Medicago truncatula: one gene and its partner. The protein of the gene in region 1 interacts with the protein of each later gene in a pairwise test. Links are inferred from orthologs where the notes say so. Each region holds a gene or a part of one and is shown in the gene's direction. Other genes may lie near its edges.

Region 1 (16,514 bases):
ACATTATCACAATGTCGCAGATATCTTTATTTAGTAATAATCCAATGGCCTTAAAAACACAAAACTAAGAAGTCTGAAACAGTCTTCGATACTACATTCACCGGTATTGGCTTGCCAATTGGCCCTGCTTCACAATGTAGTGCTGTTCAGGAAAGTCCTCGCCCTTAAAGTGCCTCTCAAGCATATCTTTCACCCCAGCAGCATACCGTAACTGAACAAGTTTCAATTATCAGCATCACTAATTTACGCAAAAAAATGGAGAAAATGTAGTCGGTAGTCGGTCAATGAACTTAGCGAAAGAAAAAAGGTATGCTTATTGTCATACCCCACCGCGACACTTATGTCGAGAAAATGTAGTCTTTCATTTTTAATCAACAGTTTTGTTTCTACAGCAGGTTTAGGGATTCTTATTCCTGCCACAATTGATGAACAAGATTGTGCAGATTGTGCCTGTGACGGATTTGGAGTGTCTCTAGTCACAATCTCATGCATTCAAGAAGTCAGCACATCAGTGGACATTGGATTGAGATTGGATGGTCCAGAGCTCAATCCCAATATTTTTCAATTTTTAAAAAATTAAAAACTGCATAGAAATCTGAAAATGTCCGATCTCGATCCAACAACCAAAGATGAGTGCGTGAATGCAGGCAAGCCAAATCTGCATGTGACATGCTTGCATTTCTCCTTGTAGATGTTGCAAGGTGTGTCTTAAATTTAACGTTTAAGAACACGTGAAACTAATTGAGAAAAAAAAAGTTTAAACAACTAACTCGAAACTAGAAATTAAGATAAGGGACTAATGGAGTAATTTTCTCAAAAAATAAACTACCTGTGCATCTATGGTAGTTCCAGAAATATGAGGAGTCATCGCATGGTTTGGCATGTAACGCCATGGATGATCTTTTGGAGCTGGTTGTGGGAACCAAACATCACCACTGTAACCTATAAGATGAAACACAGCTGTTACATTTCTTCAAAGTTCAAACATAGTTTCATATCTTGTTTGGAAACATAAATGAAATCGAGGTTTTACATTACTTGAACATCGTTTTATGTTCTTCTGTTCGTAAACAAATTTCTTTTGTCAGCTCGTTTCAGAATTACCTGCAATCTGCCCACTAGTACAAGCATCAGCAACTGCTTGTGTGTCCATAATTGCCCCGCGAGCATTGTTAACAATCAAGACGCCTTTCTTCAACTTAGAGATTCTATTTTTGTCGAACAATCCTCTGAATCACAAAAAGAAAAAAGTTTGCTCATTGCTAGGTATGACTCATAGTTTACATATAAATGGACATGAATAATCTTGTAAACTAGACCGTTAATAAATTGATAATAGTATTAAATTATACCTTGTCTTATCAGTGAGAGGGGTGTTAATAACAACTATGTCGCACTTTGGTAGCATTGTATCAAGGTCGTCCTCAAACTGAGCTCCAATTTCTTTCTCCAATGCAGGCTCCATCTTAAGTCTATCATGATATAAAAGGTTACAGTTAAAGGGCTTCAGCCTTTGGAGTAAAAGTTACCCGATTCGTCCAGCACCAACTGTTCCAACCGTCTTTCCTTCAAGATCATAGGCTCTATGTGCAATACCAGCAACATTCCATTCTCCGGCAACAGCCTGCTTGTAACCAGGCAAGAAATTCCTCACGAGAATGAGAATTCTCATAAGCTCATCCTCAGCAACCGATACTACGTTGCTTCCTGTGACCTCTGCGACGGTTAAACCAGCAGCAGCCGCAGCTTTGAGATCAATGTGATCGGAACCAATGCCAGCAGTTAAAAGCAACTGTAAATTCTTAGCTTTCTTAATTCTTTCCTCGGTTACATAGGCAGGGTGAAATGGTGTAGATATCAGGACATGCAGATCGGGAATGTGCTTCTCGAGTTCTGGTAACAGTCTAAGAGATAGTCATAAGTTAATGCAATCATAAACTTTTAAGATAAAGTTTAAAGAGGGTGGATTAATTTGTCAAAATTCTAACCAGAATCAGGTCCTTCTTTGTCATCAGTGACAATGTATTCATGTCCTTGTGATTCAAGCCACTCACGTATACCTAATGCTCCTTCAACACATCCAACAAAATTGGGATTGGATGCAGCATTCTCATTTCCTTTGTAGAACACACCTACAATTTTCTTCTTTCCTTCAGAGGCCTATTCTCAATAATAATTGTATAAGAAAAGTCAAAGAACAAAACAAAACATACATAACTGAATGTATGAGCCGCTGTTAAATGTATCAAAATTACAAAAATATATCTACCCGTAAAGTAAGTTTTGTTAGTTATTTTAGTTTAATCTTTAAATGTGTTTTCCGTTGATCATTTTAATCAATAAAATTACGAACACAAATAAGTAACTTGTAAACTACATTGATAATACCTCACACATGAAAAGACTAAAATAATTTTCTCTTGTAAATGATAATATTAAAGTTTAATTGCACTTTTAACCCCCTAAATTTTTTAATTGTCCGATTTAGACCCCTTGATTTTTGTTCGGCGATTTTAACCCTACAAGTTTCTCAGTTGTGCAATTTCATGATGCCTCCCACATTTTCCCTCAATTTTGGTTGACGTGGCATCTCTAAGTGTGTTTGTGCATGGATATTGCCAATTTTAAAAATTAAAAAACACAAAAACGAAGAGGAAAAAAAAGGAAAGAAGAGCACATGATTTCTAACAGTGCCCTTCCTCTGTACGTCATTTTTTAAAAATCTTTACTGTTCATACATTTATCGACACTTAAGTAACAAATGTTATGGTGTACAAATAGGTAGCACACATAAACATGAATGTGGACTTGACTCTGAAACATGAGAAAACATGACTCTCATATGATCAATCATAAAAAATCGTGTTTTGACAATCAAATCAACAATCGAACAAAGATAAAAGGTAAGGAAACAAACCATTTTTTCAAACTTCACTCAAAATTGAAAAGAACTCACAAATTGTCTAAGAAGAAAGAAATGTGATGTAGTTCATACACACGAAAGGAAACATAAATAATCATCATGCTGTATTTACGGATCACGCTTAAATGCCTTTGTGATGCCAAAGACACCATGCTTTTGGACCAAACCCTTCTGAGGAAAAAGATGCGTAATAATAGCCCAAAAAAAGAAAGAACAAAATGTGCAGAAGAATTATCAAGCTTTACGTAATAAAAACACAAAAGACTTGCTTAAAATTTTGGTTTTAGAGCATCTACAAAATTACAGCAGAGACATCTATTTTTTTTGGTATTAAACGAGTTTCACTTGTACGTATAATTTATTTATAATTTTTCTCCCACCAGTATTTCACACAATTTTTTTAAATAAAATCTATTAATCATTTATCAAAAACTTTATAACATTATATTTCATTCTAGCCGTTTGACAATGGTTGTGGGTGAAGCTTTAGGGCTCCACTTTGCTCTGCAATGGTTGAGTGATATGCAGTTTGATAATGTTGATTTTGAGATAGCCTCAATTTGGTTGTATCAATTCATCCTATCGTTCAACAATTTATTTTCTAACTCTAGGGTGGAGTTTGTTAGGCGACAAGCCAACGCGGTTGCTCATGCTCTTGCAAGAGAGGCCACGTCTTTAGCTAGTCCCGCCGTTTATTTCGATATACCCAATTATATTGAAACTATTATTATCAATGAAATGCTATAAGCATGCTTCCCTCAACAACAAAAAAAAAAAACATTATATTTCATTATTCTAATATTAAAAAACATAGGTTCCATCGAAAAAAAAGAGTGATTCACAAAGCACCTCTTCACAATATGTAATCATTTTTTTATTTTGCTCTATAATGAGTATCTTTTAGGTATCTTGCCTTTAAGATAAGACCCTTCCATCCATTGTGGATGATTTTATTTTTCACTTAAGAAATTGGTTCCACCATTATATTTTTCAATATTATTTTTTTACATTGCAAGACAAATTGGTAGTTTTTATAAGAGATATATTCAGAAAAAGAGTAAAAAATACATCTAAAAATTTATAGAAATGTTAAATTAAGAGTCAAACACATTTTTGTAAAAAGTCTTACAAGAAGAATGAATTATTATATGATAAAACTAGAAATGACACTTTGTAGTAGATATATAACACTTATAAAAGTTTATATATAATATATTTAAAAAAAAATGTTTATATATAATAAAAATTTGTCCAAGCTTCAAGTTGCTTAAAGACAGGCCTGCTGCAAGCTATTCTTTTGAATTAGTGATATGGGAGTTCATAACGTGATTTTTGAACTAGATTCTAAAATAGTTAATAGACTCTGAAGCACTGACATTTTTGATCAAAGACATATTTGACGTTCGACACATGTTTGTTCGACACCGATATGAAAATCACTAGATTCTAAAGTAGAAAGTAGTAGACTCTAAAGCACTGACACTTTTGATCAAAGATGTGTTTGACGTTCAACACATATGTCGACATGACACTGGTACATACAATTACATTTAATTGTGTCTGTGCTTTATAGATAGATCATTTTAATACCCATACTTTTGAATCATCTGGGTTGGGTTATATAATAAAAAGTTGTATCCGGTTTAATACCCTATATTGTCCAAACTCAATAATGGAATTCACTAGGAGGCATGCTAATGTAGTGACTCGTGGATTATATCAGTTAAATATTTTCAATTCAAAGGTTGAATTGTTTAAATTCACATTCTACCAAGAGTAATTCAATGCTTAACTCAAACACACATACACTAACTACCAACAGAACACTGAAATTCAGAAAAAAACACAAGAATGATACTTGTGTCCATTGCAATTTTATTAAACAAGTTACAACCTCAACAAAGCCGAGTACATTATTACAATGCCGCGGATATCTTTATTTAGTAATTCATTGGCCTTAAAAACACAAGACGCAGAAGTCAGAACCACTCTTCGATACTACATTCACCGGTATTGGCTTGCCAATTGACCCTCCTTCACAATGTAGTTCTGTTCAGGAAAGTCTTCACCCTTAAAGTGCTTCTCAAGCATATCTTTGACTCCAGCAGCATAACGTAACTGGACAAGTTTCAATTATTATCATCATCAGTGTTTCACACACAAAATGGAGAAAATGTAGTCAATGAACTTAGCCAAACAAAAAGGTTATGTATGCATAGTCTAGAACATTAACAATGTTGGCATGATGTTGGCTTTCTAAAACAGTTTTTTGGATTTTGATTCATGACACAGTTGATGTATCACATAATCACATTGTATTTATAAAGGGTACAAACACTCGTGTAATAATTCGAGAAAATAAAATAATTGTATGCTACCACATGTGTCAGTATCAAATACGGACACATGTTCAATATTGACACGTGTTGGACACTAGACACGCCTACAATATGAAATGTCGGTGCTACATAATTGTTTTCATTTCTCCTAGTATATGGCGCTACAGTTTGCCTCAAAACTATCATTTAAAAGCATGCATGCAAAGTGTGAGGCTAAAATGAAAAGAGAAAAAGAATGAAAGGACTAACTCAGAAACGAGAAATTAAGATAAAGGAGTGAAGTAATTTTGTCAAAAATAAACTACCTGTGCATCAATGGTAGTTCCAGAAATATGAGGAGTCATAGCATGATTAGGCATGTAGCGCCATGGATGATCTTTTGGAGCTGGTTGTGGGAACCAAACATCACCACTGTAACCTATAGATGAAACTCAGGTGTTACATTACTTCAAACATAAATTTTTGTTTTGCTTCGAAACACATTTTATGTCGGCTGGTTTTAGAATTACCTGCAACGTGTCCACTGGAACAAGCATCAGCAACTGCTTGTGTATCCATAAGTGCTCCGCGAGCATTGTTGACAATCAAGACACCTTTCTTCAACTTGGCAATTCTATTTTTGTCAAACAATCCTCTGAATCACAAAAAGAAAAAAGTTTGCTCATTCAACGCATGAATACACAACGCATGGAATACGTACTCACACTCATCATTCAAAACCAAGTCATTTTGATATTGGAATATCTTGAATTCCCTTATAGACTTCAGATTTCAAGTGTCAAAAATAGCTTGAATAGAATGCTATTAGTACTAAAATTATACCTTGTCTTATCAGTGAGAGGCATGTTCATAACAATAATGTCGCATTTTGGTAGCATAGCATCAAGATCCTCCTCAAACTGAGCTCCAATTTCTTTCTCCAATTCAGGCTCCATCTTAAGTCTATCATGATATAAAAGGTTACAGTTAAAGGGTTTCAGCCTTTGGAGTAAAAGCTTCCCGATTCGTCCCGCACCAACCGTTCCAACTGTCTTTCCTTCAAGATCATAGGCTCTATGTGCAATTCCAGCAACATTCCATTCTCCGGTAATAGCCTGATGGTAACCAGGCAAGAAATTCCTCACAAGAATGAGAATTCTCATGAGCTCGTCCTCAGCAACCGACACAGTGTTGCTTCCTGTGACCTCTGCGACGGTTAAACCAGCAGCAGCCGCAGCATTGAGATCAATGTGATCAGAACCAATGCCGGCAGTTAAAAGCAGCTCTAAATTCTTAGCTTTCTTAATTCTTTCCGCAGTGACATAGGCAGGGTGAAATGGTGTGGATATCAGGACATTGAGATCAGGAATGTGCTTCTCAAGTTCTGGCAACATGACAAAAATTAGTCATAAGTTCAAGCAATCACAAACTTGAGATATTATCTGCATATTCTTAATTAAATATATTTGTTTAGTTACTGCATAGACGTAATAAGAGGGTGTATCAATTTGGCATAATGCTAACCAGAATTGAGTCCTTCTTTGTCATCAGTGACAATGTATTCATGTCCTTGTGATTCCAACCACTCGCGTATACCTAATGCTCCTTCAACACATCCAACAAAATTGGGATTCAAGGAAGCATATTCGCCGCCTTTGTAGAACACACCTACAATCTTCTTCTTTCCACCAGAGGCCTATTCTCAACAACAGAAAAAAAAAAAAAATGGTAATGCATAAGAAAAGTCAAAGAACAAAACAAGCATACATAAAAGACTAAGGTAAACTACTAAAACTGTTATTTTGTGTGAAATTGTACATGCTATTTAATTTCATTTGACAAATTTTTTTAACATTATTATTTTAGCTACACCAAAAATTTAGTCCTAGACAAGTATAATGATTATACTAATGTAGGATTGCATACATTTATTAGATACATTTATTTAATAATAATGGATAGTGTACCCTACACCAATTTTATTCCACAAAATTTAAAAGGGGGGTTTGGAAGAGCTTACGTGGACTTCACTTCTAATGCATGTACTTACAAGAAGCTTATAATATAATGATTATTTTATTTAATTAGAAAGTGATTATTTTATATTCATAAAAACTTTTCAAAGTGATTATTTTAATTTTCTATTAATTTTTAATTTTAAAAGTGGTTTATTATAATATACGGATGACCCTTACAAAAATAATGCACGGATGACAACTTCTAAAAATAATTATTTAATTTTAAAAAATATGATATTTTTCTCTCACAAAAGCCATGTATGTAGCCCTTAATTAAACATAAGGTCTAAAAACACACTCTTTTGTCCTTAAAAAAAACACACTCTTTTCATGCACTTTTATTTATTTTTAATATAGAATATGATAAAAAATGTTAATAATAGCGTTTTTATAAAAAAAATATGTTTTGCCATTCAACTTATCTTAATTGATGTATCGACCACGATTAAGACTCATTTTTAAAAGGTGAGATCAACGTTAATTTCATTCAACTTATCTTAATTGATGTATTTGATTTTTTTTTTTTTATAAGATAAGTTTGACGAGTATTCTATGTGACAAGTGTTGACTGTTGAAAGAGACAAGGGTGGCATACTGACATCGCGTGAATGTCACGGATCATCACGATGCATGCAAGAAAGAGCAAAGAAAATTGACATATACCAGATCAAACCAAACCTTCTTTTGAGTTCTTAATTTATCATTTTTGGATAAATTGAATTGTTAATAATACTAATGATTACTTAAAAATTGATCAAGAAATTAAAATGAAAACATGAACAAATAAATTGCCAAATGATTGAATGAAATTAAGATGCATGAAAAAATTGAGCTTACATGAAGGTCTCTGGTGATGATGGAAGAAGGTGAAGAAAGTGATGAAATCTTTGAAGAAGCAGTGATCAAGGTGGAAGCAGCACGTTTCATAGCCATTTTCAAACAATTTTTGTTTCAATGAAAGTGATGAAACTGAAAGTATTAGAGAGAATAAGAATGGTTAGTGAATTGAGAAGAGTAATGAGGGGGGGTTTATATAGGAAAATATTGAAGGATATTATTAGGAGCAGTCAGAATAGTGAAAGACTACTTAACTTAACCTGAGTGAGGAAGGCTTTACCCTTTCCAACTCCAATCCTTTTCTTGCCTTTTTAATGTGAATATATGTAAAATTCTTATTAAGTTTTTAGGGTCGCATCAACAACAATTAAGTCTTATGTCATAAAGTTAAATCGGTTGTGTGGATGAGGTGTAACATAAAAGATTTGAAGGAGGTCATTGATCATAGTTATGTGTTCGTCTAAATATGTTTAACCGCAGTTTTTATAGATTTGATGCATTATTATTTATTTATATGATTACATCTATTTTTTTTTTTGTCAAATAGTTTAGAATTCACCATTTTTAAGGTGAATAAATGGGGTGTTTGGGGTTCGAACCCCGACCTCTGCATATAACAATGCATGTCTCTGCCAATTGAGATATGCTAACCGAGACAATTACATCTAATTTTTAATCTCACATAAAAGTCTATATTCTTTTTTAGACCATACCTCTTTTTGATAAATTTAATATTAATAGTATATATACACAATGGAAATTCAATTATTAATCTCACACGATAGAAATAAATGGAAGCATATAAATAGGTAGATAAACTTTGACCAGCTTTAGTAAAGTTGGAATTATTTGAGTAATAATTGACTTTCGTTTCATTATATTTTTTTTCCCTCAAAAAAATAAATTTCATTATATTTTTTTAGAAACACTCTTTATAGGAAACAAAAAAGAAATTGAGTTCTATTAATATAATACTATTTTGTAATGTAAGTGTTGCTTTCATTGTCTATGTGTCACTCTTACTATTAAATATTGCATTTGTTTGCTCTTTTGTCTTTTGCATCTTTGTGTTTTTTGAAGTTGAATTATTTGTGTGCCCTCATCTCATCTTATCTTAAATACTTAATTTAATTTTGTTGGAGTTAAGTCTATGTAAAAGAGATTTGACATTAGTAAGAGCAAAGTTAATAGTGACCATTACCAAAATAAGAAATAAAAATGAATTATTGTTCACCCCGAACAAGTCATATCAACATAAAAAAGTAGTGGGACTCCTAGCAAACTATTTATTCTTTATGTGTAATATCATTTATCCTCTTTAGCATCTTGTTCGTAGTTAATTTGGTATTTCATCGGTTGATCTAGCTGAAATTGCATATCATTTTGTTCAGTTTGCTAGCTTGGCAGATTTTTCAAAATCGCGGCAGTCTATAATGCATTTAGTTTGGTTCTCTTGGAGATTGAAACAACATGATTTTTAATAGTAAAGGAAGCTCTAATTATCATTTCTTGGACAAAATTAAGCTGTTTTTTTTACCAGTAACCGAAGAAAAAAGTTGCTCATATTGCTTTTGACTATCATAGTTGGTGTCGTAGCCCTTTTGTTTGTGTGGGCATAGGTTAATTTATGCTTGTTGATTTTGTTTTGATTGTTACTTAGGTAAGACTTTGATGTTCTACTATGTACGTCTTGTGCTAGATAAAATAATTTTTTTACTGTTAATATATTCCATTTTACCTTGTTAAAAAAATGTTTAAATATCTAAATTAGTCTGTAAGATTTAGCCTAAACGGCAAATGTCTATATCGTTAGACTTGACATTTTCACTTGAGTTTGAACTAAAGACCTTGCAGTTGTGTGTGCGAGGTTTTGGGGACGTCTACCAATTCGTCTACAACTATTTTTTTTTAATGTGGTAATAGATTTTTTATTGATGACAAACGAAAGATCAAATATTGAATAAAAGAGATATAAATTGAGTAAAGAGAAGTGATACATTGTAGATTTGATCTCGTATCCAACCATATTAAACATTTTTAACATCTGAAACATATAATTTAACTGACAATGTCAGATCTATTAGGTTAAACATCTTCATTCATATTCAAATCGAATATTGCAAATGTGCGTAGGTTTTGGTGATATTTGTCTCTTTGTCAAAAAAAAAAAAAGAGTTTTAACGCAACCCTTAAAATACAAGTCATGATTGGGTTGGGCCTGAAAGATTAACAAATGTTTACAGGCCCAAATCTCTTAATGAGAAAACAAAAGAAGATTAGTCAGATTAATTTTCCGTTCAATTTTTACACAGTCAGTTCCAGAAAGCACCGACGGTGTATCCGATGGAACCTTCATCTGTGGTGGAGACACCATCTCCAACGGTGAGTCAAAGAGATCAATGGATAGTAGAATCACAAGTGTTTCAGATTTATCAACTCTTTTCTACTATTCCTCCTAACGCTCAATCCCTCATGTAACTATCTTCTCTCTCTTCATTCTCAATTTTTCAATCTCAAAATTAAATTTCATGTATTATAATTATCTCTTTGTTGATAGTAGTTAAAAGTTAGTTAGATTAGTTATACTTGTCATCTTAGTAGCAGTGACACTTTTGATCGAAGGCGTGTCCCGACACCAAATAATAATAGCAGTTAATAGTAAGTTAGATTAGTTGTACTCGTTATCTCTGTAGCACCCGGGGCATGTCTAATCGAATGCATGTCTAGTGTTCTGCACGTGTAAGTGTCCGACACTGAAACATGTCATTACATTCAATTATGCTATTTTGTCAAATAAGTTTGGAAATAGGTAGTTAAGACTTAAGAATTAGTTAGATTAGTTTTACTTGTCATCTCAGTAAGACCGACACCTTTTGATCGAAGCCCGACATTGAAACATGTTAGTGCATTCAATTATGTCATTTTCTCAAATAACTTGTTAATAGTTTGTATGACTTAAGACTTGATTAGATTATTTATACTTGTTATTTCAGTAGGACCGACACCTTTGATCGAAGGTGTTTCCCAACACCGAAACATGTTACGTTCAATTATGTCATTTTCTCAAATAAGTTTATGAATAGGTAGTTAAGAATTTGTTAAATTAGTTATACTTGTTAGCTCTATAGCACCAACATTTCTGATCCAAGGGGTGTCCAGTGTCCGACACTTGTAAGTGTCCGACACGTGTAAGTGTCCGACACTTCTGACTCAATTATGTCATTTTCTAAAATAATATCGTGTGCCGACATGTCAACGTGTGTTGTTTCTGGTGTTTACATTATGCTTATGTTTTGTTCCCCTTTCGTGGGTACAAAACTTGCATTATGTAAAGATTTAATGTACGCTACATGGTTGATCCTGCCTGTAGTCATATAAAGTTTGTAACAGGTAGCTAAGTGTATATTTGGTTTCACTTCTAGAGGGGTCAATATGGATTCTAGAGGTGTAGAATTGATTCTTGACATGTTTGTTTGCTCTTGAGTAGAATTAATTTTGCCTTTAGAATTGATTCTACTTGAATCTAGAAATTGGAGCTTTTGATTCTAGAATTGATTTTAACACTCAAATTTATTGTTCAACTCACTTTTACATAAGTGTATCCAAACGTAAATCACTCAACTTTAAACTCACTTTTAGCTAGAATCAATTCATTAAAAAACAATTTTTTATCAACGCTGAACCAAACATACATTTATTATCTTCATTTTATGTTTCAGGTTGGAGTTGCAACGAGATAAACACATCGAGTATCTTTCTAAAGGACTTCGCCATCTCGGTTCAGCTTTTTCAGTATTAGATGCAAAGTATCGATTTCTTTCTATTTTGATTTTTTGCATGATTGTTGTGAATTCTGTTATTAGTTTTTGATATTTGAAAAAAAATGGTGAAGTGTTGCTGTGGTTTATGGTGCAGTCGACCGTGGCTGTGTTACTGGATTATTCACGCAATTGCTTTGTTGGGAGAAACTATTGATGATGACCTTGAAGATAACACAGTTGATTTTCTTAACCGTTGCCAGGTATATTATATTTTCATATCACCTGACTTATTATGAATGAATAGATGAGTTGATATCTTCATTTTTTTTTAATTTAATTGCCGCTGGTATGAAAGTTTTATTTAGATAATATCTAATTATATCTTAGAGTTTAGTGAACATACAATGGCACTTTAAATCAGTTTTTTTTGTACACTGTTATCCAATGTGTGACAACCATTTTTCCATCTCATACAATTAATTTCAAAATACTCTTATAAAAGATGGATCACGTGGAAAAATACTGGATTGGATTTTTATCGAAAGTGTAAAACTAGTTTAGACTGACATGACATATCCTTATATCTTAATGTAGACTTTTTTTTTGCTATTGGCCTAGTGGCCCGCACACACGGAGGGGGAAGTGTGGTGACCTGAACCTGCATTCTACATAAAATGTGCTTACAGCCAAACCACTAAACTGTAATAACGAGGACTAGTGTAGACATTTGTCTATCTATTTTAGGAAATAATGATTGTACGTCTCCACAAAATATTTGTACAATGTCGTTGCATAGGTGTTAAACTCTTCATTCTGTGTGTTTTTATGCTGTACTAAGATAGTAAGATATGATTAGACATTTGTGTGTTTGTATTCATGTATTTTCAATGTATGTATCGTTACAAGTAAAAAATAATGACTGGAAAATTATAATTATGCACTATACTGTATTACTAACTCTAGACTCTATAGTTGTTAAAAAAAAAAAAAAAACTCTAGACACTATAGTGCTACTTGTTTTTTCCACTGAACCATGATTTGTTTGGACTTTTATTTATGTACTGGTTTTGATTGAGTGTCAAACATAGCCCAGATGATCCATTTAGTTGTGATGTTTTATCTTATTTGATTTGAGAGAGGATTTCTTGGATGGTACTTTATCCTTATTATGACATTCTACCTCCTTATGAATCTCTTGTTTTTTAAATGCTAACAGGATCCAAATGGTGGATTTGCTGGGGGACCTGGCCAGGCAAGCAACTGTTACACTTTTTTACTTAATTCTAGTCTAACATCAAACTATAGTTTTGTTGAATTTGATTCTTACTTCTCTCTCTTTGTTACTATGGTTTATTGTCTCTTGCTAACACCACTTATGCACATCCATAGAAACTTATACCATGGTTAGTTTTAAGTATAATATCCCCCATAATTATAAATACTATATAGCTCTTTCTTTTATGAATACTATGAGAATATGTCAAATGGTGGTTTGGTATCATGGTTCATGCATGGTTCAGTTCAGTTGTGTGAAGTAAGAACTAAGAAGGCAGTTATGTTTGAGTTCGAGCCAAGTTCAGTTGAATAAGTTTCAGCTTTATTTTTATCTCCTTTCCCCAATTTTGTTGATTGAGTTATAGTCAATAAGTACTTTATAATCTTATATTTTCAATGTAATGCATATTCCATGTATCTGTTGGGTCAATTTTTTGCTGTAACTGCAGTACTTCCTGGAAGGACCATAATATTTTCAAAATTTTATGCTGCGTCTTTCCTTTATATTCTTTAATTGTTCGAAAAGCATAATGCTTATGATATCTTTGAAATCTTCCTCAGATGCCTCATCTTGCCACAACTTATGCTTCAGTCAATACTCTTATTACTTTGGGTGGTGATAAAGCTTTGGCATCAATTAATAGGTGGTCAGTTTATTCTTTTCAAAGCAAGCTCTAGCAATTTTTTGTATCTTTTGTTCGGTAGAGTTCTGTTCTCCTGTATTTGGAATTGATTTGTTTTACACTTTGAAAATATTATTCTCAGAGATAAATTGTATGGGTTTATGCGGCGGATGAAACAGCCAAATGGGGGATTCAGGTATGGTATCATATTCATCTCTGTGCCTTCAATTAACAAAAATAAATTAGATTGATGCCTGCCCATATTCATTTTATTGTATCTGGTTGCTTTGACGTGTGAATGCTTGCACATATTGCAATTATTCACACACATGAGCGATGCCAGATTTTGATTTGGTAATGTTTGTGGGGACACGGTGTGAAAATATAAATCTGCTATCCTGCACAAATTTAAATGGTGCGACTTTGAGTAGTGTGTTAAAAGCATTTCTTAATGCTGATTATTTTGTTGACACGTTCAGAGTTTATTTGGGGAATCATCTTTTTGTTTTTATTCATTATTTTTATTTTCAATCATCAAATGTTTTATTCAGGATGCATGATGAAGGAGAAATCGATGTTCGAGCATGCTACACTGCCATTTCTGTAAGTGGTTTTCTCTGTTTCTGTGTCTTTCTTCCACACATGCATGTGTAGATGTGTTAATATGCAGACATTGCACTTTTTGGATCTCATCATGCATAGTTATACTAGTTTTTTGTTTGTTTTGAGAGTTATACTAGTTATTATAATGGTCATTTTATTGTATTAGACATGGCCTTGATAGCATATTACGAGTTAGGAATGAAAGGATGCTAGAGCTGTTGGCTAACTTAGACATATGTTGTCAATAGCGCCACTACAGAGCACACTATAGCAGAATAGCATAGCATTGGTAGGGTTCGGCGCAACACCATCTTCCTGCGAGCCGCCTTCAGCAGTGGCGTTTGTTGCGTCCGGAAATGTGGTGGAATTGCGGCCTCAACCCGGACTCGCGCCCGCTATTAGGGTTTCAGGGAAAAAATCCCCGAAAGTGACCTACATTATTAATATTTGAATTCCCACGTTTATTTTCTTGTGTTTTATTTGCGTTCGTTCCTCACTTTCTTCTGTGTTTTCTTCTTCGTCTTTCATTTGCTTGCTTTCGTTCTGCATTCGTTGTTTTGTTTGCGTTCGTTTGAGGTTCGGCACTATGTGCCGCTATATGAGATTAACAACATGGACTTATACTTTTTCTACCATTATCCTCTATGATTTTCATTGTGGGAGGGGAACACTTTTAATGCCAAGGCTGGTAAAAAAAGATATCTATTTCATAACACTGGGAATCTTGTTGGAACCAGGTAGCAAGTGTTCTAAACATTTTGGATGATGAGCTGATCAAGAATGTTGGAGACTTCATATTAAGGTTAGTTTCAAGATGAACTTGCTTTAATTTTTGGAATTAAATCAAACTGAGTGTTTCGAGCTTGATTCTACAATATTATAATGTTAATTTCAAGAAGCACTTGCAATGTTTAGACTATAAACTTTTTACTAGTCAAACTTATTACTTTTGTTCCTACAACTTTGATTTTTGAGTGGTTTTCCTTAAGTTCAATTTGCAAGGGTTCAAAGTATGCTTGCATTTGAGAAAACGGGGAAAACGTTTCTAAGGATCTCTTCATAAGTATGTGGGGCCTCACACGTGACCTTTAAGGTATAAACAATTAAAAGTGGTATTCGTCATGACTTTGGTGGTATGGTGGCGAGGGTAACTGAATTCTCTCCATTTTTGCTAATCTAGTGGGATTGGCAATAAGGAAAACTGTCATCTTTTCATTAACTGAAACTCACACTAGCCACAATGTTGTTGCCTTTGGGAAATGTTGTATTGGGGTACTGAGTTCTCTCCATATATTTATTTTTTTATTTTTTATTATTTTGCGTATTTGAAGGTTTCATAGAACTCTGGGTTTCTTGCTGTGTACAATAGTTCGTTGGTCAACTAGAAAGTGAAATAATTGATTGCATGCAGAGCACTATATGTTATGTAATACATGTCTTATACACTAAGCTGTTTCTTTGCAGCTGTCAAACATATGAGGGTGGCATTGCTGGTGAGCCTGGTTCTGAGGCTCATGGTGGGTATGTATCATACTTTCCAACCATCCTTCTCTCATTTCTCTTTATACCTCTTCACAATTATATTATTTGGAATAAAAAGTCAATCTACCCTCATGATAAGTTATCTTATATTTTTACTATTTTTTCTTTATCAGGTATACCTTTTGTGGATTAGCTGCAATGATTCTGATTGGTGAGGCTAATCGCTTGGATCTGCCTCGTTTACTTGTAAGAGAATTGCTCTTTTTAGTGGCTTCCCACAAGTTTTATGAACTTTTTAAGTTCTACGAAATATAACTTATGTTTCCTTTCTTCAGGATTGGGTTGTATTTCGGCAAGGTAAGGAGTGTGGATTTCAGGGGAGAACAAATAAATTGGTGGATGGATGCTACTCGTTTTGGCAGGTGATTGAAATTTTATATTTTCTTCATCAGTCTTTTCTGTGATATAGTTGGCTAAAAACATGAAAGTATTCAGGGGGGTGCTGTTGCACTATTGCAAAGATTACAATCTGTTATTGAAGAACAAATGGTAGAGGCATCACAGTCTTTTACGAAATCTGATGCGCCTGACGAAAAGGAAAGTTCGGCTGGAACATCAAGTCATGCAACTTCCCGTATCAGGCGTGAAGGTAGGTTGATTTTGAAGCATATATT
Region 2 (16,179 bases), on another chromosome or scaffold:
GACAATATCCTCAAGACTGGATGGTATGTACATGAAATTTCAGTCTGTAGGCATTGGACACATGATAATTTTTCTATAAACTACTATTTTCTCTCCAGTGTATTACTATGCAAACATAACAGTCAACAAAGTAGTATAGCAGAGAATCTTTAGACCGTATGCTATGATACCCAGCAAAAACTTTTTTGGCATGAAAGGAAAAGGACAACCCTTAAGGTCAATGCTGTATTAATTCAAAACTTCAAAATATTAACCAACCTACTAAGCCAATTTGTGTCGGAAAAATAATGACATGATTCTTGTTGAGTATAATATCATTTAACAATCATGCTTTGATAGACAATAATATACATGCAATTTGTTTCCTCATCATTACAAAGGAGGGGCAGTATCAAATTGATCTATCTGTGACTTTGTAGGCTATCCGAAATCCTGGTCCAGTTCCATCGATCTTGTCAGTGTTCTCAAGAATGAGATTCGTGACGGGCAATTGACCTTCAGAGGAAAAAGAGTTCTTGAGGTAACTAATTGAAAGATATTTTTGCATGCTTTAATGCCTTGATTTGGTTGTCTTTAATTCTTCTTATGCTTCATCCTCTTTTTCTCATTTACAAATGCTCTCAACGTTAACTGTATGGCCACAAGATTTCTCTCTTTTCTTCTCCCTTGAGCCATATTTTTCAATCTTTTTAGTTGTATCTATTATTCATAATTTAATGATCTCTTCACTTCATGTTCCGTGCAGCTCAGTTGCAACTATGGACTTCCTGGAATCTTTGCTTGCTTGAAGGTATACAGTTGCACTTTAGGTCTCAGTGCTCACTTTCTCCTTTCCTTGGTCATTTGTCACTAGTTTGTGTGTATTTGATAGCTGGAAAGAACAACAACATTCATCTTGTTTGTGTAGGTGTTGGTTTATTGTAGTTCGAATACTTGAACTGCAGTCAAATATATTTTGTAGTTATTCTCAATGTAATAGTGTCAAAATTGGACTTCCAAGGCACTGTGCTTTCACCTTCTTTTTATGCCTTCCATCTAACTTGTCACGTTGACGAAAGTATATAACAAACAGAACAATGTCTTCCTGGTGCCACCAACCTAAAGATTTTGGATTCTTTTTTGGTAATATTTGCAAACTGACAAACAAGTTCTGCTGCAAGAAGAGAAATTTTTTAAAGTCTTTTGGTAGAATAAAAACAATGGTTAATTGGCTATACTTTTTTTCCCAGACGTTCAAAGAAACATTCACTCATTGGAATAATATTCTCTGTCCTCTAAATGGTTCTTTATTTCACAGGGAGCTTCCATTGTGCATTTTCAAGATCAGAATGCTGAAACTGTAAGATGCACAACTGTACCGAATGTCCTTGGTAATCTCAAGCAAGCTCGTGATAGGCAGAGTCGACAGCCAGAGTCTCCCCTTACTCCTTCAAGGCAGACTCTTGCACCATCTGTTAACTTTTATGCTGGGGACTGGGAAGAATTACCTGCCGTGTTGTCTACTGTGAAAAATGATGGATATGAAGCGACACCTGGAATGAGTTTGAGCTTCTCTGAGGAAGACTTTTTGGATGTAGGCAGTAGTCAAGATGGTAGCATCATTGGACACGAATCTAGTTCAAGAAGGTCTAGGAAACTCTCAGGAAGTCGAGCATGGGAAAGAGCTAATGAGGCAGATCAGGGGGATGGTGGCTATGATGTTATTTTAATGACTGAGATTCCATACTCTGTTAACTCTTTGAAGAAGCTGTATGCTCTCATTAAGAAGGTTTGTTTCATTATACTTGGTTGTCTCTGCACTTTCTTATTTTAATGCTATACTAAACTGCATATCCTGTTGTCATCAGATACTTATTGTTGTGTCATCAGATACAACAAATATCAACTTGGTCACCGTCTAAGTATACCAATCGGTGACCATACCAATTTATTGTATTTGATTACACGGCAATAAGTCGTAACACCATGGCATACAAAACACAATGAAATTTCATCAAGGTTAGAAATAGATTTTCAGACGAAGTAAGGAAGACACGCGCCATATATCCACCCACACTACAATGAGTATTGCATCGATGGCATTGTCCTGATTGCATAAGTTTCCCCTTGTCAACATTCTGATTCCTATTTTCTGGTTTCCCTTTTATAACAGTGTATAAGGCCTCCATATGGAGTGGTATATCTTGCTCCAACTAAGAAGCACTATGTTGGCTTTAGCAATGGAGTACGACAGCTGAGAAATGTGTTAGATGAGGAGGGCATTTTTGGAGTGCATTTGGTTAAGGATTTGGCTGACAGAGATATCTGGAAGTTGTTTCACAAGTGAACAGGAATTCAAAGATCAGATGGATTATTATAGCAAACTTCAGTGAAAAAAAAATCTAGACAACATTCATACTCTGAATCATTCTTTTGTTTTTTGAATTAATAATTTCTCCATTTTTCTTATAGCTTTAGTAAATAACGGAGGTCTGAATTTGTAGAATTAGTTGGACATGCATCATGTTCAGTGCAAATCAATCTCATTGGATTGTTTTGCACACTCATATGGTTGGATAAGAAACTCGCATATTGGAATTGTAAATCAAAATGGTATATTGAAAATTGAAACTATCCTTTTTGTTGGATTATAGATCCTCTCTAGCACTTCCTGTTCCGTGATAGTCATATCTTCTTTCCTAATCCAACCGTTGATCGACCACAGAGAAAAAAGTAGATGAATGATCGAGACTAAGATAAAATGGACAACAGAGAGAGGATCAAAATCTTTTTCAATTTCAAGGCATTATAAACCCCATTTGGGTTGGCATGGTGGTATTGACCTGAGATATGGAAGTGTGCTCCTTCTTGAAGTCTTAGGTTCGATTCTCTTCGGTGTCAATTTGGGTGGGTTAATTTAGATTCTTCAAAAAGTAAATTTCAAGGCATTATTTTTTATTGGGTTAATATATGTTTACCCCTATAATATTAGTGATTTCCGTTTACCTCTTGAAAAAAATTTGTTTAGATTTCAACCCTGTAATTTGAAGAATTTTGGTTTTGGATCTTCATGAATTTTGACTGTACAAAATCGATGATATGGTAGGGTGGTAAACCGAAATATTGATGATATGTCAGGGGGTAAACCGAAATTCTTTCAAATTACAAGGGGCGAAAGTACCTTAAATTTTGTAATTTGATGCCATGAAGGTTCAAAATCAAAAAATCTTCAAATTACAGGGTTGGAATCTAAACAATTTTTTTTTCAGTGGGTAAACCGGAAATCACTAATATTACATGTAAACATATATTAACCCTTTTTTATTTTATGTTTATTATTATTTTTTAATGAAAAATTTACATGTATTTTTGTTTGAAGGAGGATCATGTATATCATATGTTAGTTGCTAATACTTTTGAGCTTTTGTTTTTATATGGCAAATATTCGTGTCTGCACAATTTCTTAAAAAAAAAAAAAAACTTTTTTTTACATTAAAAATTGTACATGATACTGAAACAACAAAAAATAACTTTTTTTTACATAAAATTATCTAGTATCTGTATTTTTTAATTCTTAACAAATGCCCTAAATATAACAACAAATCATATTAGATAAGAACATTCACTCTAATCAGATAAAATGAAGAACAATTTTTGCAACAAAAAATGATAGTTGCATAGGAGAGAAACATACACAATAACACACATTAAGAACATGTTTTGTTTGGTAGTGGTACAACCATTATACGTCACACACATTTTAATAAAAAAGAGAAGTGTTATTTGAACAACCAATTTGGTGATAATTTATTTAACAATTATATTTTACAAAGAAAAAAGTGGTATTGACACGGAAACCATAACAATAGAAAGATAAAATAAAAATTAATGTGAGTATGCTTGTTGCAAAAATTATCACTAAATGGATGTTCAAATATCATTTCTCTAAAAAAAACTCAATTATCTTATTTAAGAAGAGGAATCTTTATACTAACAATTTAAAGTTTTTAGAAATAGCTTATTCCAAATTCCTCTTTTAAAGATGTCCACATCATCCTAATCCTACTTGGCATTTGTTCCAAAAATTTTCCCAATTATTAATACAAGCTTAATAATTATAATTATTATTAAAAACCGTTTTTTATTTAACATTAAATTATACATAAAATGCATAGTTGGTTACAATCAAATAATTATTAATATAACTATTGTTTTGATTAAGATTTATATGTTACATTAAAAATTTGTACGTTACAATCAAATAATTATTAATATAATTAGTATTCAATTAACATTTATACGGTACATTAAAAATTTGGTAGGTTACAAATTTATAATAAATAACTTGAATAAATTATATTTTAAATTTTGGTCCGTTACACTATGACAGAAACCTACTAATTAAAAAATTTAATTGTAGTAATTAGTTTTTAAGGTTATATAATTAATTTGTATTCATTACAAAATTATATTACTTAATATTAATAAGATATTATTAAATTTCAAATCTTATAAAGTTAATTTTTTGTAGGTTACATGAAATATAATCTAATCGTTTAATGTACATTTTATAATATTAAAGACGTTGATAATATTAATTTTAAAACGGTCAAATTAACAATTAATATATATATATATATATATATATATATATATATATATTAATCGTTATAGTATTATTTTCTATATAAATAGTAGCAAGTTTGGGTATGAGTACACAACAATCACAAAATATAGTTTTTTTTTTCTTCTTTTGTTCTCTGGTTCTTTGATATCTATGTTCTAAGTTATTTCTGTAACTTTTTATTGCAAAGAAAAAGGTCTACAAAACACGACTTCATCTCTGATGTTTCGCCAAGAAAATAATCGTGGACATTGGTTGTGAGGGTTGTTCGTGCTTGGTTTGTTCAAGACTACAAAAATAAAAAACTACCATTTTCCATGGAGTTGGTTCTAATGGATCGAAAGGTACTTTTTTCATATTGTTTTTTTTTTTTTTTTTGGTATATTTTTTTGAAGTATAGTGTTTTAATCTTTGTTATCTCATAGATCACAAATTGAGCTTGACAGATAGCATGTAAAATGACACAAAATGAAATATTAGCTCAAATAACACTCTTCCATGATCCTAACACAGTTCTAGAGCAGAGTCATCATGAACATATAGCAACAACGCATATGCAACAAAGTTTATCAATATTTTATGACCTTTGTATTTTACCTTTATTTTTAGTTGCCTGATCTATCTCGCATTAGCATATTAGAAAAGTTTTTTTAACCTTACTCTTACGATCACCATTAATGAGTTGAAGAACTTGCATGTAATTGAGTGGGTTGACATAGATCTCCTACTTTTTTCTAACCCACGTTTGGTGGAGGTTTTAGTTTGTGGGATTCGGTTAGGAACTTTAAGAAGGAGGAAGTGTTTGTTTGGAAAAGTTGAACAATGAATTCGAAATCAAAATTACAGTAAAGTATAACAAAATTAGGTTAGAGTGTTTTAATTTGTGACTTATGATCACTAATTAAAAAAAATGATGGAAGTAGATTAAAGAAAGTTGTTTTCTGTCAATTTTTTTTCACCGGAGATAATTTGCTTCCGAGAGAAATACTCTCTCCAATCTTAAATATAAAAAATAAATAATTTTTTTTATCTTAAATTAAAACAAATATAACTTACTTTGACTCTATTTAATGTTATTTGTCCTAATATACATTTTAATTCATGTAAGTTTCAGTTTAATATTTTTTCATTCTCATGAAACACATTCCAATATATGGTACTTTAATTTTTTTTTATCAAATCAAGAAAACTAATTGCATATAAGTGAAATTTTGAAGTTAGATATTTTTTATAATTGAAATCCGAGAGTATTGTGATTAAATAAAAAAGTAATAATATTATTCATACTGGTAGATTAAAACGGAGGTAATCATACCTGTTTAATATATTGAATGACTGAGAAACCAAAGTTAATTTGAACTTTTATTAATTAGATATATTTTTAAGAATATATTAATTATTTATAGTGTTTTTATATTTTAAGTATATTTGTACTTTTGCCCACTATTTTATGACTCATAAAAATATTTCTTTTAAGAAAATGGGATGCAGATAGATCTGCGACACCCTAATTACATTAAAATATTTTTGTTTGTAAAAAAAAAGACTGGGGACATAGTAACCCAGTTAAACCAAAAAGGTAACCAGCCATATGATAATACAATACATGACAATCTAATGGGTAAATAAACAAATTCGAATTCATAATTAGACTCACACATCATGTTGCACAATCCAGCGAACCCGCATTTCGGGCACAAAACCAATGTGTAAAAGAAATGGGATGTGTGAACTGACGAGTCTCGAATTCCAATTTTGAAGCCGGTAAGAAACTGATCGCCAACACCAAAACAAATCCACACGCCACCAACCCACTGCATCTAACATGACAACAACCAGCTTCAAATGCCATTTCTAGCCATACACGTCACTGTTGACAAAGACGACAACGCCCCCATTTTCGGTGAGACCATTTATGAAAAACACAACTTCGAAGCAATGTCGAGCTCATAATCAGAATCAGACCGTGAAGGGAAAATTCTACCACGATTTGTAGGATAACACAAAAGCCGATGACAATGGCAGCGAAAAACCCAACAACCGTCGTTGAAACACAACCATAATGCTCGCTAACCCAACCACCGCAAAAGATAGGAGATTCACAGCGGTTTCAATAAACCAAGAAGAAAAATCTGATCCGCAAAACATGAGACAACCGCATCAGACTATCGCTGTCTAGAAACCAGATTTGAGAGTAACAATCCATAACAGGTGTTGTTTGGTTCGATGGAACCGATCCTAAAAAAGGGGTTCTAGGAGGTGGTCAAAGAATCACACCACAACCTCCTTGATGCGTGAGGTTACATTGTGAAGGGAAGGTTTGGATTTGGTAGGATGAGCAAAGAAGGTGGATGGAGGAGAAGGAAGGCGGCTCTCACAAAAATAGTTATATCTTTTTAAAATTTAATTTTTTTTTTGTCTTAATAAACGGTGATTTATTTTTTCAATTTTACATATGAGGATAGAGTACCACATAATGTCAAAATTTTGAAATAAAATTAAACTAAAAAAGTCAAATAATATCTGAAAACCTAATTATGTGTAAACTCCGTTAATTTTTTTAAAATAAAATGAATCCCGTGCTTGGCACGGGAAGTTACACTAGTGTTTTATACATAGCAAATGATTGGTTCATGAATGCTTTTGTTACGTTTAAAGAAGGGCAAAAGCGCTTCATTAACTTCAACTTCGAATTTTGTGGAACTCATATCATAGTTAAGTATAAATTTCACTTATCACGATTACTTTTTTGTATTTTATTTAAATTATCACTTTTAAGTATGAATTTCATCTAAAAAAACATATTTAGAACATGAATATGAGACAATTTAAGAAATTAAAGACAAATGATTGATGATCGAATTGATCTAATATTTAATTAAATTATAGACCTAATATTTCGTAATTTTATCCACATTATATTTTTTAAATTTCACACATAGTTTATCCCAAAAAAATAAATTAATTGTTAGATTAGTATTTTTTTTTTCTTTCTACTCCGCACATGTTAAGAACACCCTAGCAGTGAGAGAGTGAAGAGAAGTGAAGAAGAATCAAGAAACGATGGCCGGAAAAATCGAAGATGAAAGCAACGATCGCGTGCCTCTGCGGTTGCGACCGGAGTGGTCCGACGTAACTCCGATTCCTCAAAACAACGGCCCTAATCCAGTAGTTCCGATCAACTACTCCGAAGAATTTTCCGAAGTTATGGATTACTTTCGTGCTGTTTACTTCGCCAATGAACTTTCATCTCGCGCTCTTTCTCTCACCGCTGAAGCTATTTCTCTAAATGCCGGAAACTACACCGTAATTTCACAATTCGAATTTCTTTTTCCTTTTTTGAATTCAGATTTGATGCAAATTGAAATTAATTACTTATTGATTTTGATTAATTATGAGTTTTTGAGTTAATGATAATAATTAGGTTTTTTAAAGTTGTGATCTTGTGATGATTTTGTAGGTGTGGCATTTTCGACGGTCATTACTTGAGTCTCTGAAAGTTGACCTACATGTTGAAAGGGAATTTGTGGAGCGTGTTGCAAGTGGAAATTCCAAGAATTATCAGATTTGGTGAGAGATCTTTCTTACTTGGTTTGCAATTTCAATTGCTATTTTTAGTGATTTTGTGTATAGGGCACGCGTTAAGAAACCAAATATAGAAATATTGTATTGGAAGATTGTATTCGATTCATTGCAAGCTTAAAAATTGTTTTTTTAAGCTCACTCACCAAGCTACCTTCTGGCACTAGTGATTTGCAGCTAATTATTCTAGGTTATTTTAAGTACATGGCTTGTTTGTAGACATGGAATGGCGTTATGTGAACAAACCATGTTGTTTGTGCAACAAGTCCTCTGAAATTTTGACAAAATGGGAATTTATCGCTTGTTAGTTTGAACTTTGAAGTAGATGCAAATATTAAGCAGGGTAGCTGTGGTAGCAAAATTAAGAATTGTTGTCATGTGACTTAGAGCTCATAGGTTCCAGTCATAGAATTATATTGTTGGAATATGACAAGTTTAAACATATATTTGACATGGCTAGTTATTGTGGCATTTTCCATCTATATTACAATGTAAAAGCACACAAATTATAAATTACAGCTAGGAGTATCCAAACTCCAAACTGGTATCTGTAACGTGTTTGATACGGTATAACTATATTATGGAGTGACCATACTTCCCTGTAGGGAGCATTACAGCACTATCTTTTTTCCCAGTTTTCCCACTTGAGTTATTTGCACTAGGCTATATTGTGTTTGGGACCTTATTTTACCATTAATAGTGGACTATGGAAAATCTTAAAAACTATCTGACACAACTAATTAAGCGGCATTTGCGTCTACGTTGCTATACAAATAATCAAGTAAAATGCAGCTAAGAGTAATCGATGTGGTATTGATGATGGTTCACCACTGTTATGAATTTGATTACTATTTTTGAAGTGTTTCTATGTAGTAAGCATTAGGCTTCCTTCTTAAACTAGTTACTGTACCTGGTTTTTTTTTTTCTTGCTGAAAGTTGTAGATCTGTATTCGATGATCCCTTGTGCTCTCCAAACGTCACTTGCATTGTCTTTGGGTACTTATTTTAGTGGAAATGGAAGTATGGTAATAATGGATAAAACATATTATTTCACATCCAGGAAGATAGATTTTTATGTTCAAAAGATGATGCTCTTTCCTCCAGTGTCAATCCGATATAAGTAATATGAGTGGACGTCGCACACTCTAGTCTTTGTTCAATGCAATACACAAAATAAGTTTAGTGGGCTAAGCATAACACATGTTTATTGACCTCCAGTGACCTTTACATATTAAACCATGATGGTGATATCCAATAGCATAATGTAATAATTCACCAGGCAAATGTTGCTGGTCTGAGACTAGAAAATTGTTCTTATTTCTTGCATATTACTTCCTTCATGGAATTGTAAAGAATGTTCTTCTTTGTTCATATTCGCATGACATTCAGTTGCATGATTTGAGGATATAGTTCATATTTGATAGTCATTTCTTATATAAACCATATACATTCATGAAGTCGTACTTTGAAGTGCTTCCTTTGTCTTCTTTTGCATACACATCATCACATTGATCTTGATGTCAGATGTTTATAGGCATCATAGGCGATGGGTTGCTGAGAAATTAGGACTTGAAGCTAGAAACAGTGAACTTGAGTTCACCAAGAAGATATTGTCTATTGACGCCAAACATTATCATGCATGGTCTCATAGGCAGGTTTGTTTCTCCTATCTTTTCCACGAATCTAATTTTCAGATGGTGTTGCCTGTTCATATTATTATCATGACTCAATAAAATTTTGCTTCTTTTTTTGCATGGACGGACAGTGGGTTCTTCAAACCCTAGGAGGATGGGAAGATGAACTCAATTATTGTAGTGAACTGCTTGCAGAAGACATATTTAACAATTCTGCTTGGAATCAGGTATCCGACTATTGTACATGTTATGTTTAGTTTTGGTACATGACATAGTAAAACACAGTATATGATTGTTTTCTAACTAATTGAGAGATCAAACACATGTAGTATTCCGTATACTTAAGTCATTGTCCAAAATGTTACTTTTCCCAATAATTAAAATTGAGAAACATTGGTAGACAAAGCTAAGCTAAGCTGTTGCTATTTAAATACCTGTACACGAATAATCTATTATGAAAAAGAGAAAAAAGGGAGGTCTTAGAAATGCTTTCTATTCCTATTTGCATTCTAAATTTGGTGTGTTTGCCATGTATATGGAATAAGTCTACAATCTATAATTACTTTCTAATCCTATTTGCTTATTAAATGTAGCGTGTTTGCATTGTACTCCCTCCGTCTTTAAATATAAGCAAAATTGACTTTTTAGATTCATTCATTTAATGATGTATGTGGTTTATAATATGGACCACATACATCATTAAATGAATGAACATAAAAAGTCAATTTTGCTTATATTAAAAAACGGAGGGAGTATGGAATAATAACTTGACAATCAATTTTACTTTTAAAGCATTTTTTTGATATTTTCAAATTCAATAAAATTAACTCGTAATATTTTATACAGAGATATTTTGTCATAACAAGGTCTCCCTTCTTAGGGGGGATTAAAGCTATGAGGGAGTCTGAAGTGCTTTACACCATTGAAGCCATTATTTCCTACCCTGAAAATGAAAGCTCTTGGAGATATCTTCGAGGACTTTACAAAGATGAAGCCACATTATATGTAAATGACACTCAAGTTTCTTCAGTATGTTTAAAGATTTTGAGAACAAAGAGCAATTATTTGTTTGCTCTTAGTACTCTCTTGGATCTTATCTGCCTCGGTTATCAACCAAATGAAGATTTCAGAGATGCCATTGAGGCTTTAAGGACTTCAGATAATGAAGAACAAGATTCAGATATAGCAAGAACTATTTGCTCTATTTTAGAACAAGTTGATCCAATTAGAGTCAACTATTGGGTCTGGCGTAAGAGTAGACTTCCTCAGGCAGCTTAATACCGTCTGTAATTTATACTTTGTCTATTGAAATTGGATGTCATGAACACCCTATGCTTGACTAGTATTTTATTTTTATTTTTTTTCTGACAAAGAGAAGCTTGACAATTAAGTTATTGGGTGAAAACAGGGTGGTTGTTTTTGTTCTGATATGTTTTCAATATGTATTTCTATATTTAACAGGGTAGTTGTTTTTGCCATGATATGTTATCAGGGCGTACTTTTATAAATGCAAAATTGTGCTCTTTTGTTCCCGCCATTACTAGCAATTTAGTGTGACAACTTGTTAAGTATTGGAACTAAGTTGAACAAAATATATTTTTCACCACCTTCTTTTCTTGTTTTATAAAAAATGGTCTTCTACTTTTGCGTTCTTAACATTGTATTAACGAACCACTGTGATAATATGTTGAAGTGTATAATTAGGCATCTATCTATGAAAAACTTGTTTAAATTAATAAAACCTATTGAGTCAACCTGTATACTATGCTTGATTCCAATGTCAAACAGGTAATCACTAAGTGAGAGATGGACGGAGTAATATCATTCTCAATGATTCCGTGGTAAACATTTTGTTCAAAATTAGAATAAACTAATTCTTAAACAGGTATTACAAAGCTGGTAAGTGAATACAATTTTGAGACAAATCAATTAGTTTAAACATTCAATTTCACTACAATGCTGTTAGAGACTTGTAGTACTATTATTGAACCTGATATTTAATATTGACATAACAAAACCCAGTAACTAAAGGCAATAGAAGGGAAATTAAACATGAAAAAAAAATTAGTTGAAGATATGTAATTCTTCAATACATACATCTCTTTTAGTTAAAACAAGAGTCTTTCTTCAAAATATATACATCATCACTTAGATAGACACGGGTGTGTTCAAGATATTTCTCATTATAATTTGATCACATAAAATTCTTAACTATGTATGTATATCAAATCTGAAACAAAAGAATCAGCTTGATTCAGGCTTCTTATTCAATTGAGATTTATTGGACCTCGAAGATGAACTTGAAGTCTCCTTGAACGCCGACGGGCAGAACCTACTTACACCACACTCTCCACAGCGAGGCCGTAAAGGAGTACAAATTGTCCTTCCAAATCCTACCTGTTCAACTTCATATTTAAGCTAGAAGATGCTTTACATATATGCATACAATGTTGTAAGATAGATGGTATAAGAGGCCCAAAAATGTTTTTGGCAATGCAGAAATAAAGTAACACACCACATCCAAAATATAACCATTTAGGTGCATTTGTTCCTATACTATCTATAGTACTATACTACTACATAGTCAAAGAGAGTGAATGTTTAATTCATACCAAAAGAAGATTTATTGCAACCCATTCTTCCCTCGGAAGCCACCGTTCCAGCGCCTTTCTTGTTTCTTCGGGTATTGAAGTTCTCTGGCATGGCACGAGGAAGATAATTATTAACTTTGAATTTGTGACACTTAGAAGTTATTGGAAAAAGTAACAACTAGCCAATCAAAGAGCAAAATTCTTCCTGCTGACAAACACCGACTGACAGTCAAGCAAATTTTGGAAACCATGATAAACAAAATACATGTTCTGATAATTAAATTGCATTCCCAATATGTTGTAACATACATATTGATCACATAACATAAGCCTTGATATTGTCAAAAAAATAAAAAAATAAGCCTTGATAATCTTGGACAGTAATAAGCATAATTTTTCCTTCTAGCCGACAAATATAATGTGATGCTACCAAACTTAAAACAAACCTGTTTTGTGCCGGGTCTCGAAACCCATCCAAGACGATTGCTGATGCGGTGGACATGAGTATCTACGCATATCCCTTGGACATTGTTCCATGCAATAATCATAACCTACAGCACCACTAACAAAATGATTTCAGGAAATAAAACTAAAACCATTAACAAAATGGAGCTTAAAACTAATGAAACAAACTGTTTGAAATACGAAAAGAAAACTGTACATACCAAATGAGCAATCTTCGGACCTACGCCTGGAAGTGAGAGTAGTTCCTCAATTGAGTTAGGTATGTCTCCATCATACTTAGTGAGACAAATATCAGCAATTTTCTTCAAGTTACCAGCTTTTCTTATATAAAACCCAACCTGAGAAAAGAATGCCCAAAAGCATAAGCACAGATATTCAATTAATAAAACACAAAAAGGACATAAAATAAATTGACACGCTAACATCTTATAGAAATACTGGAAGTTTCAAAAGTGGAATCTTTAATTTTCCACCAAATCCAAATTAATTGATCAAAAGCTACCAAAGAACATACAGGGTAAATCTGTTTTTTGATAGTTTCTTCATCAGCTTTGTTGAGTGCATCAGCAGTAAGAAGACCATTTTGACGAAGACGTTGAGTTGCTCCTATTCTTGAAAAAAAACACACTCTTAAATATGACTAAACTTGTACGAGAAACTACCAAGAATCAATCACATAAAAAGACAGATGATAAACACAATTGGAGGCCAATGTGCACATAATGGCTGCTCAAATTTTCTTAGATTAACACTTCATTGGTTTTCAAAGTTCAGCCTTCTACATCATGCAATATAGGAAGTATCTAATTTTTTTTGCGCTTTCTTTCTGTGTCGGGCCTTGTAATGGATACATACTAATTTTTAGTTCTGATGTGATGTTGTATTTTTGTGTGTATTCCAGAATATTCTATAAGTTTCAGAAGCTTCCCAAACATCTCTTACACTTCAAAAATGTTCAGAAAAAGTTTAAAATGGATATGAGAAAAACATGGAAACGCTAAATCAGTTTCCATTTCACCGAATCATGCTCAAAACCTTCTTCTAAATGGACCAAACTACTTCATACAGTTATGTCATGAATCATAAATATTGTCGAAAAATAATATTACGATCTTAGAATGAAGCTTCTCAAACTACGAACAAAAGAAAACAAATCTCGACATGTTTTTCATGACCATAAACTTGAGAATGTAAATGTGCTTACCGCGAGTAACATGCTCCTTAGTCTGGCTTGATAAAAGAGAAGATGCCAGGACAGCAAATCTTCTGTCCTAATTATATGCATAAGAATTTAGTTTATTATGACAGTAAAGTTATGCACATTAAGGTTCACACTGTTATTGAAATCAAAATAAAATATTGGCCCGATAGTCAATAGCTAATAGCTAATATAAATTTAGTTTATTATTAAAGGTTTCTAACTATTAATGACTGATAAGAGATTGCACAGAAGAGAAATATTAGTTTGGTGAGAATTTGTAACGCATGTATTGGTTGATAAATGACTAAAGCTATGTTTGGATTGATGGAACAGAATGGAATAAACAGACATTGGTTGTCATTGTTTGAACCTCTATTTCTCTTCCCCAATTAGGGATATGAGATGGAATGGAACCATCATATCATTTACTAAACAACGAAAATTACCTTCAATATTTCATAAATCACCAAAACAATGGTATGGTTAATTCCTTTCATTCTATCTCATATCATTCACCGATAATTATGTATCATTTTAACCAAACACAATTAAACTGTCCAAGAAATAACTTAACTTTATAATCACATTAAAGACATAAGCCAAAAGGTTAGTGCTTAATTTCTTTCACCATGCGCGAAGTCAATATAAATAGCATATAGATTTAGACCTTAGGAGGATGAATATCAGCATCTTCCCGATCACCGGTAGTGTCTATCGAATACATCATTTTGCGAATCCCTTCAAGCACGTTTTCCCAATTGGCAGGACTCTCATCTACATAAATAAACAATAAGCTCCCTAAACTTAAAACACTTCCATAGAATAGAATCAACCCAAAACTGTACATTTGTTGCAATAAGCACTTACTAGTTTGACCCAATCCATTTGTTCCTGTGTATGCAGATCCTTCAATCTCAGTCAAACCAAACTTCTGTGTAGTAAAATTACTAACATAAATTATATTGCAATACATGGAAATGTGAACATTTGAAGAATTCCCAAAAAAAAAATTGAAAATTGCTTAGATTAGAAAAAGGGTAAAAAAAAGTCTCACTTTTTGGTCTTGAATTTGCAGCAAGTGCTTCTTTGGTTGAAGTTGTGTAGTGTTTTTGCGTGTGTTAAATTGGAACACTAAAGAGATAAAAAAATGAATGAATTTTAAGGAAAAGGAATTGAAAATAAGAATGGGTTGTGAAGAAGTTAGTAGCTACCTTGGTGTGGATTGGTTTTGGAGGAGAAGCATGTTGCTCTTGTAATGGAAGAGAAGACAGAGATTCGCACCAAACAAACAGAAACATAAGTAAAAGGAAACACAAACATTTTTGGAAATTGTCGGGGAACTATAACGAGCTATACATACTATTTTAGGAGGGACTAAATATTATATTATATTTATGGATTAATAATGATTTATCCGGTGTAATATAGAACACTTTTGAATTTGCCCAATGTAAAAAAAAAATTAGACTTCGTCATTGTAAAATAAAGATTCTTTAGAATTGACCCCTGACCCTTATGATTCATTAGAATCTCTTACGTGGCGCTGATGTGGATATTTCTTTTTATTTTTTATTATTTTTTTCATTGATCACATGTATAATTCATTTAATACATCATATTTAATTAAAAAAAACACAAAAAATTAAAAATAATTTATAAATCTGAAAATTAATTTTCAAAAGAAAAAGTTTAGATTTTTTTTTAAAAAAATAAAAAAATCTGGAACTTAATTTAAAAAAAATAGAAAATATATTTCATAAATTAGAAAAACAGATTTGAAATTAAAAAAAGTTCAGATTTCATTTCAATATAAAAATGTCTAAAAAAAATTTCAAAATAATTTTTTTCCATAATTTTTCTTTTTTTAAAAAAAATTATTTCAATATAAAAATTCTGGAATAAAATGTCTAAAAACTTTTTCAACAATGAACGATGATAAAAGCTACTATCTCCGTCCCTTATTATAGTATCCTTTTTAACAAAAACATTGGTTTTAAGAAAGTTAATTATTGTGTTAAATTTATTGACAAATGATAATTTTTTTCCATGTTTGCCCTTCTAATAATTGAAATCACAACTTATTATTTTCCTATATTAATTACC

The links.
Region 2: the proteins of protein farnesyltransferase subunit beta (region 1) and protein farnesyltransferase/geranylgeranyltransferase type-1 subunit alpha interact in binary tests that used the Arabidopsis thaliana proteins (3 or more experiments, as listed by UniProt). The link is inferred for Medicago truncatula from reciprocal best matches to the Arabidopsis thaliana genes ERA1 and FTA.

What each region holds. Positions count from the first base shown.
Region 1 is NC_053047.1:1,503,235-1,519,748, reverse strand, and holds the start of protein farnesyltransferase subunit beta, read left to right. Parts: upstream 1-10,379; 5' UTR 10,380-10,439; coding exon 10,440-10,570; intron 10,571-11,815; coding exon 11,816-11,902; intron 11,903-12,011; coding exon 12,012-12,117; intron 12,118-13,073; coding exon 13,074-13,109; intron 13,110-13,693; coding exon 13,694-13,776; intron 13,777-13,897; coding exon 13,898-13,951; intron 13,952-14,306; coding exon 14,307-14,358; intron 14,359-15,095; coding exon 15,096-15,160; intron 15,161-15,822; coding exon 15,823-15,879; intron 15,880-16,013; coding exon 16,014-16,086; intron 16,087-16,175; coding exon 16,176-16,262; intron 16,263-16,335; coding exon 16,336-16,489; intron 16,490-16,514. Other genes in the region: formate dehydrogenase 1, mitochondrial, read right to left, coding at 4,928-5,041, 5,568-5,680, 5,772-5,896, 6,085-6,625, 6,766-6,937, 8,097-8,192. UniProt on the Arabidopsis thaliana protein: Catalyzes the transfer of a farnesyl moiety from farnesyl diphosphate to a cysteine at the fourth position from the C-terminus of several proteins having the C-terminal sequence Cys-aliphatic-aliphatic-X (CaaX).
Region 2 is NC_053043.1:48,327,771-48,343,949, forward strand, and holds protein farnesyltransferase/geranylgeranyltransferase type-1 subunit alpha, read left to right. Parts: upstream 1-7,582; 5' UTR 7,583-7,666; coding exon 7,667-7,909; intron 7,910-8,063; coding exon 8,064-8,173; intron 8,174-9,719; coding exon 9,720-9,840; intron 9,841-9,950; coding exon 9,951-10,046; intron 10,047-10,665; coding exon 10,666-11,097; 3' UTR 11,098-11,356; downstream 11,357-16,179. Other genes in the region: uncharacterized protein, read left to right, coding at 1-23, 420-520, 746-790, 1,298-1,768, 2,153-2,326; endonuclease III homolog 2, chloroplastic, read right to left, coding at 12,064-12,216, 12,432-12,515, 12,857-12,961, 13,076-13,213, 13,390-13,481, 14,080-14,146, 14,744-14,850, 14,944-15,007 and 2 more. UniProt on the Arabidopsis thaliana protein: Essential subunit of both the farnesyltransferase and the geranylgeranyltransferase complex.